2 linked regions of the Rattus norvegicus genome follow. The protein of the gene in region 2 interacts with the protein of the main gene of each other region in a pairwise test. Links are inferred from orthologs where the notes say so. Each region holds a gene or a part of one and is shown on either strand. Other genes may lie near its edges.

Region 1 (4,386 bases), on a different chromosome or scaffold from region 2:
CTTGCACTTCTCCCCACCCCTTCCCCCTATACTTTTCAAGATGAATGTTCTCTGACTCACACACATGGATGTAGTGCATATAACATATACTAAAATGGCCGGAGCATTCAGTAATGATGCAGCATGGCTAGCTTATAACATCTTGCTGCAAACTTTCAACATACACAATGACATGACATATTATTACATTTCAGTTGTCCCTTATAAGCTCATATATCTACACACCGATTCCCTGCTTTGTGGTACTGTGTGGGGAGACTACGGAACCTTTGGGAGGTAGAGGCTTGCTGGAGGAAGGTACATCACTAGGGACGGACTTTTGAGTGTTTGTAGTCTCACACCACTTCCTGTCTGTGCTCTCTGCTTGCATCTGAAGATGTCAGCCCTCAACTTCCTGTTCCTGCCGCCATGTCTGCCCCTTTGCCTGCCTCCTCACTATGACAGACTCCTACCCCCCTGGAACCGTAAGTCCAAATAAACTCTTCCTTCCACGAGCCATGGTGCCTGGTCACAGTAACAGAAAAGTTACTAAACCCACACCGTACAGAGTCCCTGCGCCCATCCTGGAGGTCTCCCGCTATGGCCAACACTGAGTCACAGAAGTGGACCCCTGTACTCATCTCAGGGACCTCCCAGTATGCCCAACACGGACTGAGCTGTCTGGATGACCAACAGAGAAATTCTTTAAGTTGACCTAAAGGTGGTTTGATGCCATAACTATAAGCTTAGACACGTTACAGGTCAGTAGGAGCCGGCAGGGAACAAACCGGAAACCCTGATGACCGGACTGTGTGAATTGAATATCTGCAGAAACAGACTGTAAATTAGTGACCTCCATCTGTGTGTGTATGTGTGTGTGTATTATGTGGTGTGTTGTGTGTAGTGTATGTGGTGTGTAGTGTGTATGGTGTGTGTGTGGCATGTGTAGTATGTGTGGTGTGTGGTGTGTAGTATGTATGGTAAGTGTGTGTGTAGTATGTGGTGTGTAGTGTGTGTGGTGTGTAGTGTGTGTGGTATGTAGTTTGTGTGGTCTGTGTGGTGTGTGTGATGTGTGTAGTGTGTAGTATATGTGGTGTGTAGTGTGTGTGTGGTGTATGTGGTGTGTGTGATGTGTGTGTGGTGTGTAATGTGTAATGTGTGTAGTGTGTGTGGTGTGGTAGGTGGGGTGTGTGTGTAGTGTGTAGTGTGTGTGGTGTATAGTATGTGTGGTGTGTAGTGTGTGTGGTGTTTGTGTGTGGTGTGTAGTGTGATGTGTGTGTGGTGTGTATGGTGTGGTGTGGTGTGTGTGGTATGTGTAGTATGTGTGGTGTGTAGTGTGTGTGATGTGTGTGTGGTATGTAGTTTGTGTGGTCTGTGTGGTGTGTGATGTGTGTAGTGTGTAGTATATGTGGTGTGTGCAGTGTGTGTGTGGTGTATGTGGTGTGTGTGATGTGTGTGTGGTGTGTAGTGTGTGTGTGGTGTATGTGGTGTGTGTGATGTGTGTGTGGTGTGTAGTGTGTGTGTGGTGTATGTGGTGTGTGTGATGTGTGTGTGGTGTGTAGTGTGTGTGTGGTGTATGTGGTGTGTGTGATGTGTGTGTGTGTGCGTGTGCGTGCGTGTGCGTGCGTGTGTTCATTCAGTAAGGTGGATATGTCCATGTGGGTGTTTGCTCATGTGAATGTTCATGCTCATCTATAGGGGCCAGAGATTGACATGTAATGTCTTCTTCAAGTCTCTCCACCTTATTCTTTGAAACTGTCTCACTGAAGTTGGAGCTAGGCTGGCCAGCCGGCAAGCGCCAGGGATCCTCCTGTGCCCGGCTTTTTACACAGTGGTACCTGAACTCAGGCCCTCGTGCTGTTCAGCAAGCACTTTACTGACTGAGCCATCTTCCCTGGGGGAACTTTTACAAGTAGAACCCGAAGAAACCAGTGAGGAGATCTGCCAGATTGGAAAGGAGGCAGCTAAGCCAGGATGCATGTTGCAATCTCAGATGCAATACCAGCCTCCAGCTAATGGCATGGAGACCTTGAGGTCTAGATGTCGCACTTGAGAATGTCCTTCTTTGCACTGGCTCCTGGGAGCACAGGACTCCCAGGCATTGTGGCACCTTCACACTGACCAGGCTGTTCCAGCACATAGATGAAGAAGCTAAGACAGGATGCCCAGGGCCTGCAAAGAGATCTGAGCGGGTACCAACAGTACAGAGCAGGGACTGGGTTCTTCAGTTGATGCTCAAAGCGCTTTGCTCACACACAGCGGGCCTATCCCCCACTCTGTCAGCCAGGGCGTGGTCATCCTCTGGTTTAAGGATAAACAGCCGGCCCACAATGCACTCACGTAGGAGCACAACACTGGCTGTGGGTCCTTTGCCTCCCCTCTGCTGTCTACACAAGAGAAGTGATTCCAATGGCTTGGGATGGTTCAGAGAAACTGATTCCAAACCCACGTGGTGAGATCTTGAGAGCCCGGGGCACCTCAGCCCGTGCGGGAGTTGTCAGGAAGCAACCTTTACTCACGCCCTCTGCTTAGAAATCTTCGCCTTTAATGGGAGGCGGGATGGGAGCGGGGAAGGGGGGGTGGAAACAAGACGTCACGGCGTTTCACCTTTCAGAGCGACTTCCTGGACGCAGCGCCGCCACTGTGGCCAGCGTGGTCCTGTCCCCGGCCTCTCGGCCCTCTGATCCCCACGCCTCCCGCTCCGGAGCTGCGGCGCACCCCAGGAGTCCCTCCCTGGTCAGGAGCTCTCACCCCAAGATCGTTCTCTCCCTCCTCCTCTAACTCCTCAGAGCCCAGGTCCGACATGATCTGGTCTCAGACAGGATCTCCGGAGCAGCGTCTCTATCAAGCAGGTACCAGCCACCCCCACCCGCGTCCCGCGTCGTCATGGAGACGCTGCCCGCCCCACTTGGCTCTCTGCCTGGAAGGGTGGCGGGAAAGGGCCGCAAGAGAAGCGTGGGAGGAGCCAAGGGCTGGAATAGTGTCCTAGCAACTGGAAGGGTATCTCTGCCAATCGCCGCCCGGGACGAGGGGGGGCGGGGCCTTGGCAGATCTGACCGTCTAACCTGAGCTGTGTCACCGGCCTCTGGAATGTCCTTACTGATCTGGTTTGTGGGCTCTACAAGGAATCACCTAAAAAGCGGACCCCCATTGGGACGAGAGGTGCATCTCAACTCTGGGCCTTGCCTTTCAGTCCCTTGGGTCCTCCGTGGATGCTGCAAGGACCCTCCCAGGTCTTGAGGTGTTCGTGGTCTCTAGATGACAGGAACTCAAGTCTTTTCTGTTTCCTGTCAACACGTATACACTGGACGATGAACTCTGACCACTTAAGCAGATGCTCGCACACACTGCCCCGGGTCAGGGTTTAGCATCTCAACTAACTCAGGTTACCTCTGGGCCTTCACTTGCAGGAGAGCTATATTCGTTCTACTCTGTCCTCTGGTGCCTGCAGACTTCCTCTCAAAGGTCCAGCCTGCTCATTCACTGACTGTCTCTTACAGATAGATCTCCTCTTGGGGTCCCTCCAGTGCCACATTCCACCCTGCAAGGACCCTCTGGGTCCCCTTCAACCCCTATACTGTCATTCCAAGCTCAGACCTTCCTGCTCCCCCACTGAGCCAGTCTTTCTGTCCCAGTACCTGGCCTCCTAACAGTCTCACAGTTTTCTCTGTACAGAAACCCAAACACACACAGCCTCTCTCTATGTCCCCAAGCTCCCCCTCCCTGCACTAGCTACATTGCAAACAAACCAAACCACCCAAACCTCCAGTCCCTACTTCTGGCTTCTGCCTGGTCCAGCCCAGCCAGCTCCCTGGAATACCTGCTTCCCCACACTTGAAAGCACACCAAGACATCTTTGTTTGGTTGGTTTTTTCCCCCAAAGATTGGCTAAAAAGCTGCCTCCCCACGTGATAAAATGTAAAACATAACTTGGGACAATTAAAAATGCTAATGTGAGGGGTTGGGGATTTAGCTCAGTGGTAGAGCGCTTGCCTAGGAAGCGCAAGGTCCTGGGTTCGGTCCCCAGCTCCGGAAAAAAAAATGCTAATGTGCCGTGATGTGCATGCAGTATTCTGATTAACACACACACACACACACACACACACACACACACACACACCACACACACACAGGGCCGATTTCCACAGACACAGCAACACAGCCACTGTAATCACCACCACCACCACCACCACCACCACCACCACCACCACCACCACTACCACCACCACCACCCCAGGTGCTACCTTTAGAATCTGCTGTTCACACTCCTAGGGAACTGTCCATGCCACTGTGACAGTTAATTTTGGTTGTCAACCCGACACACTCGGGAAGAAGGGATCTCAATTGAGGAATTGTATCCTGGTCTGTGAGGATGTCTGTGGGTGTGGTTTTCTTACTTGCTAGTTG
Region 2 (3,667 bases):
AGACAAGAGGCTGGGGACTTAGCTCAGTGGTAGAGCGCTTACCTAGGAAGTGCAAGGCCCTGGGTTCGGTCCCCAGCTCCGAAAAAAAGAACCAATAAATAAATAAATAAATAAATAAATAAATAAATAAATAAATAGACAAGAGTATCCTCGTTCCCCCATCCCTTTGTGAAGCACGGTATCCACATAGACCAGGCTGAAGAGATTGCCCGCCTTTGCCTCCCAAGTGCTAGGATGAGAGACACCACCATGCCAAGTAACAGTCCATACATACACCTCCACTCCCTAAGAGTATAGAGCTCTGGGCTGGATACATGGCTCAGCAGTTAAGAGCATTTGCTGGGGGTTGGGGATTTAGCTCAGTGGTAGAGCGCTTGCCTAGGAAGCGCAAGGCCCTGGGTTCGGTCCCCAGCTCTGGAAAAAAAAAAAAAAAAAAAAAAGCATTTGCTGGTGTGCCAGAGGACCCTGTTTTGATTCCCTGCACCCAAGTGGCAGCTCACAAGTATCTATAACACCTTCTTGGGCACCAGACATGTACCTAGTACATGGACATATGTGCAGACAAAACATCCAAACACACAAAAATAATTTAAGAGAATATATAGATCTGGGGGGCTGGAGAGATGGCTCAGCGGTTATGAGCACTGACTGCTCTGCTCTTCCAGAGGTCCTGAGTTCAATTCCCAGCAACCACATGGTGGCTCACAACCATCTGTAATGGGATCCAAGACCCTCTTCTAGTGTGTCTGAAGACAGCTACAATGTACTTATATACATGAAATAAATAAAAAATTCTTAAAATATATATATATGTGTATACACACACACACACACACACACTCATTGTATAGACCAGGCTGGCCTCAAACTCAGAGATCTACCACCTACCTCTGCTTCCCAAGTACCTGTATTTAAGGCACAGGCCACCATGATGGCCCTGGGTGCTCATAGTTTTTAAAGCTCTCTGGGGATTCTTGGGTTAGGCTAAGGAGGTGAGGACATGTTTAAATCTCAAGTCTCGGTGGGCTTGATGGCAGAGTGCAGGCTCACTCTCCTCTCTGGGTTAGCTCGGGCAGTAGAACTGAAACCACTTCCTTGCTCCTCTGCCTTGCACCCTCAAGTCCCCCTGTCACAGACACAAGGGGAAAAAAATCTACACAGTTGGTGAGGCTGTCTTTCCCATCCCTCAGACCCTGCCCACCCCTGCTCAAGCTATAGTCCCTTGGATTAAGGCCACCACCTTCTTTATTTTCATGCACACTGATATAAAGCCACAGGGGCAAAGGCTTTGAGCAAGTGGGTCCCCAAGACCAGCCAGGGAGAAGCAATACCTTACCTCCACTGGCCAAGAATAAGCTAGTGTAAAGACCCCACCTCCAGTGGCCAAGAATAACCTAGCGTCTGGAGGAGTGGGTGCCCTCTGAGGGAGCCAAGGGCGTGCCCAGAGTCACTGTGTGCTCCTTCTGCAGGAGGTGCACCGGTCTGAGCAGTTTGGTGACAAGGGCTAGAGTTTCTCCTGAGTCTCTGTTCGATCTCTGCACAGGTGGGGATGATGTCGGAGTTAAGGATTAGAAACAACCACCAACACCCTCGCCATAAAGCCTCACAGCCACCCTCAAGGACAAGGTCCCACAAACAACTATCAAGACAGGCCAAGGGACCACAGCCTCCTTCAACATCCTTTAGAAGGGACTAACCAATCACCTGACTGCAGCTCGCCCCGGGAGGCTAAGAACAAAATGGAGGCAAACTAGGCAGGGCTGGAATGCACTGGGTTATCTAGGCACACGTATTTCAAAGAGGAGTAACCAAGAAGGAAAAGCTGGATTCGGGGAGGCAAGAAACTTGCCCTCTTTGATCTTGCTCTGCGCCCATTAGTGGTACCAGATGATCGGCACTGTTTGTTCAGAGAGGTCTCAGCTTTCTCAGAGGTGACAGACAGCCGCGTCTTCTCACCTGACATCAGTCCTCTTCTTCCTCAGGCTTCTTCAGTTTATCTAATGCTTCCTTCAGCACACCGTCTGGGTCTAGAATCTCCACCTGGGGGGAAGCAGGGGCGAGGGGACCCTTTGGTTGGGGTAAGGAGCATGGGAAGCCCCCAAGCTGCCTTGCTAGAGATGCTTGAAAACAGAACCTCGGGGTTGGGGATTTAACTCAGCGGTAGAGCGCTTGCCTAGGAAGCTCAAGGCCCTGGGTTCGGTCCCCAGCTCCGGAAAAAAAAAAAAAAAAAAAGAAAAAAGAAAACAGAACCTCACCTCCAGCTCCTTGACATGTGGAGCCAGGAGGCTGGTTTCTGTCTCTCTGGTTTCAGGACTCCAGGAGGACTACCCACCTTAGGAATGGGGAACTGGGTGGGTTCTGGGGCCTCATCCCGGCCAAAGTCGATCATGGTGCCACACTTGGCCACGTTGTCCACCCAGAAGCCTTCAAACAGCTGGCCGTGGTCCAGGTGAAAGAAACGCCCGTGCCCGTTCTTCATGCCTCTCTCCCAGCTGCCTTCATACCGGTTCCCGTTCTCTAGACAGGAAAGCATGGGTGCTAGGCACAGGGAAGCAGCTGGGACATCGGGCTGGACCTCACTGGTCCTAGCTGCTGACCAGTGAGCTCTCTGAGAGGAGGTGCAGTGTCCTTAAAACATCGCTTCAACCAATTCCAGAGATTTTATTCTGCCAGTCATGGTGGCCCAGGCCTTTGATCCCAGCAATCAGAAGGCAGAGGTAAGTGGATCTCTGAGTTCTAGTCCATCCTTGTCTACCAAGAGAGTTCCAGGGCTACACGGAGGAAAACCAGGGAGAGGGGGAGGGGGCGGGGGGTGAGAGAGATTTGATTTTTTGATGTTGGAGACAGAACTTGGCTCTCGGCACTTCTGCCTCTGAGCTGCAACACTAGCTGTAGGGAGGGTTTTTTTGTTTTTGTTTTTGTTTTGTTTTTTGTTTTTTTGTTGTTGTTTTGTTACTTTGTTACTTTTGTTTTGCTCCGCAGCGCAAGAAACTTTGAGCCTGCTAGGCAACTGCTCCACACCCCCAGGCCTTGGCCTGAAATTCCCTATGTAAATCAAGAATTCAGAGCTCCACCTCCCTCTGCTTCCCAAGTACTGAGATTAAAGCCATGTAAAGTTTGTTTGTTTGGATGGTTTGGTTTGGTTCCCCCCCACCCCCCCACAGCATTTCACCCCCTAGCTGGTCTCTAAGTGGAAGCAATGTTGTCGCTGATACCGAGTGTTAGGGACCTTGATCACCTCCCACATTTATTTATTTATTTTTTTTTAGTGTGGTTGTGTTAAATGCCAGTACTTGCATGCCAAGGTGCATGTGTAACACACATGTAGGGGTAAGAGGACAAGTCTGGGAGAATCGGTTCTCTCCTCCTACCTTGTGGGACCCAGGATCAAACTCAAGTGGTCAGATCTGTTTGGAAGCCCAACTCACCATTGAGTGAGTTACCCGCCGAACCGACTCAAAGGCCCTCACACTAAAAACTACTAAACTAAACTAGACATTTGCCCGGCGTCCCAGAGCTAGCCCCAGCTCCCACCAGGATCTGAATTCCTGCAGGCTCGCCCAAAGTCCAGACCATGAGAAGCTCCTGGAACATTTGCTCTGCTTAGCAAGAGCTCTCTAAATCCAGTTTATGCTCAGTGGAGGCTCACTGAAGGCAGGCTCCTTGC

The links. The genes of interacting proteins can lie anywhere in the genome.
Region 1: the proteins of Morn3 (region 2) and Rsph1 interact in binary tests that used the Homo sapiens proteins (3 or more experiments, as listed by UniProt). The two-hybrid records come from large-scale screens. The link is inferred for Rattus norvegicus from reciprocal best matches to the Homo sapiens genes MORN3 and RSPH1.

The regions. Positions count from the first base shown.
Region 1 is NC_086038.1:9,359,151-9,363,536, forward strand, and holds the start of Rsph1 (radial spoke head 1 homolog), read right to left. Parts: upstream 2,839-4,386; 5' UTR 2,785-2,838; coding exon 2,731-2,784; exon of another isoform or gene 2,583-2,730; intron 1-2,582.
Region 2 is NC_086030.1:39,186,930-39,190,596, reverse strand, and holds part of Morn3 (MORN repeat-containing protein 3), read right to left. Parts: intron 2,518-3,667; coding exon 2,333-2,517; intron 2,041-2,332; coding exon 1,963-2,040; 3' UTR 1,957-1,962; exon of another isoform or gene 1,762-1,956; intron 1,536-1,761; exon of another isoform or gene 1,228-1,535; intron 1,127-1,227; exon of another isoform or gene 77-1,126; 3' UTR 1-76. UniProt on the Homo sapiens protein: Assembles a suppression complex (suppresome) by tethering SIRT1 and MDM2 to regulate composite modifications of p53/TP53.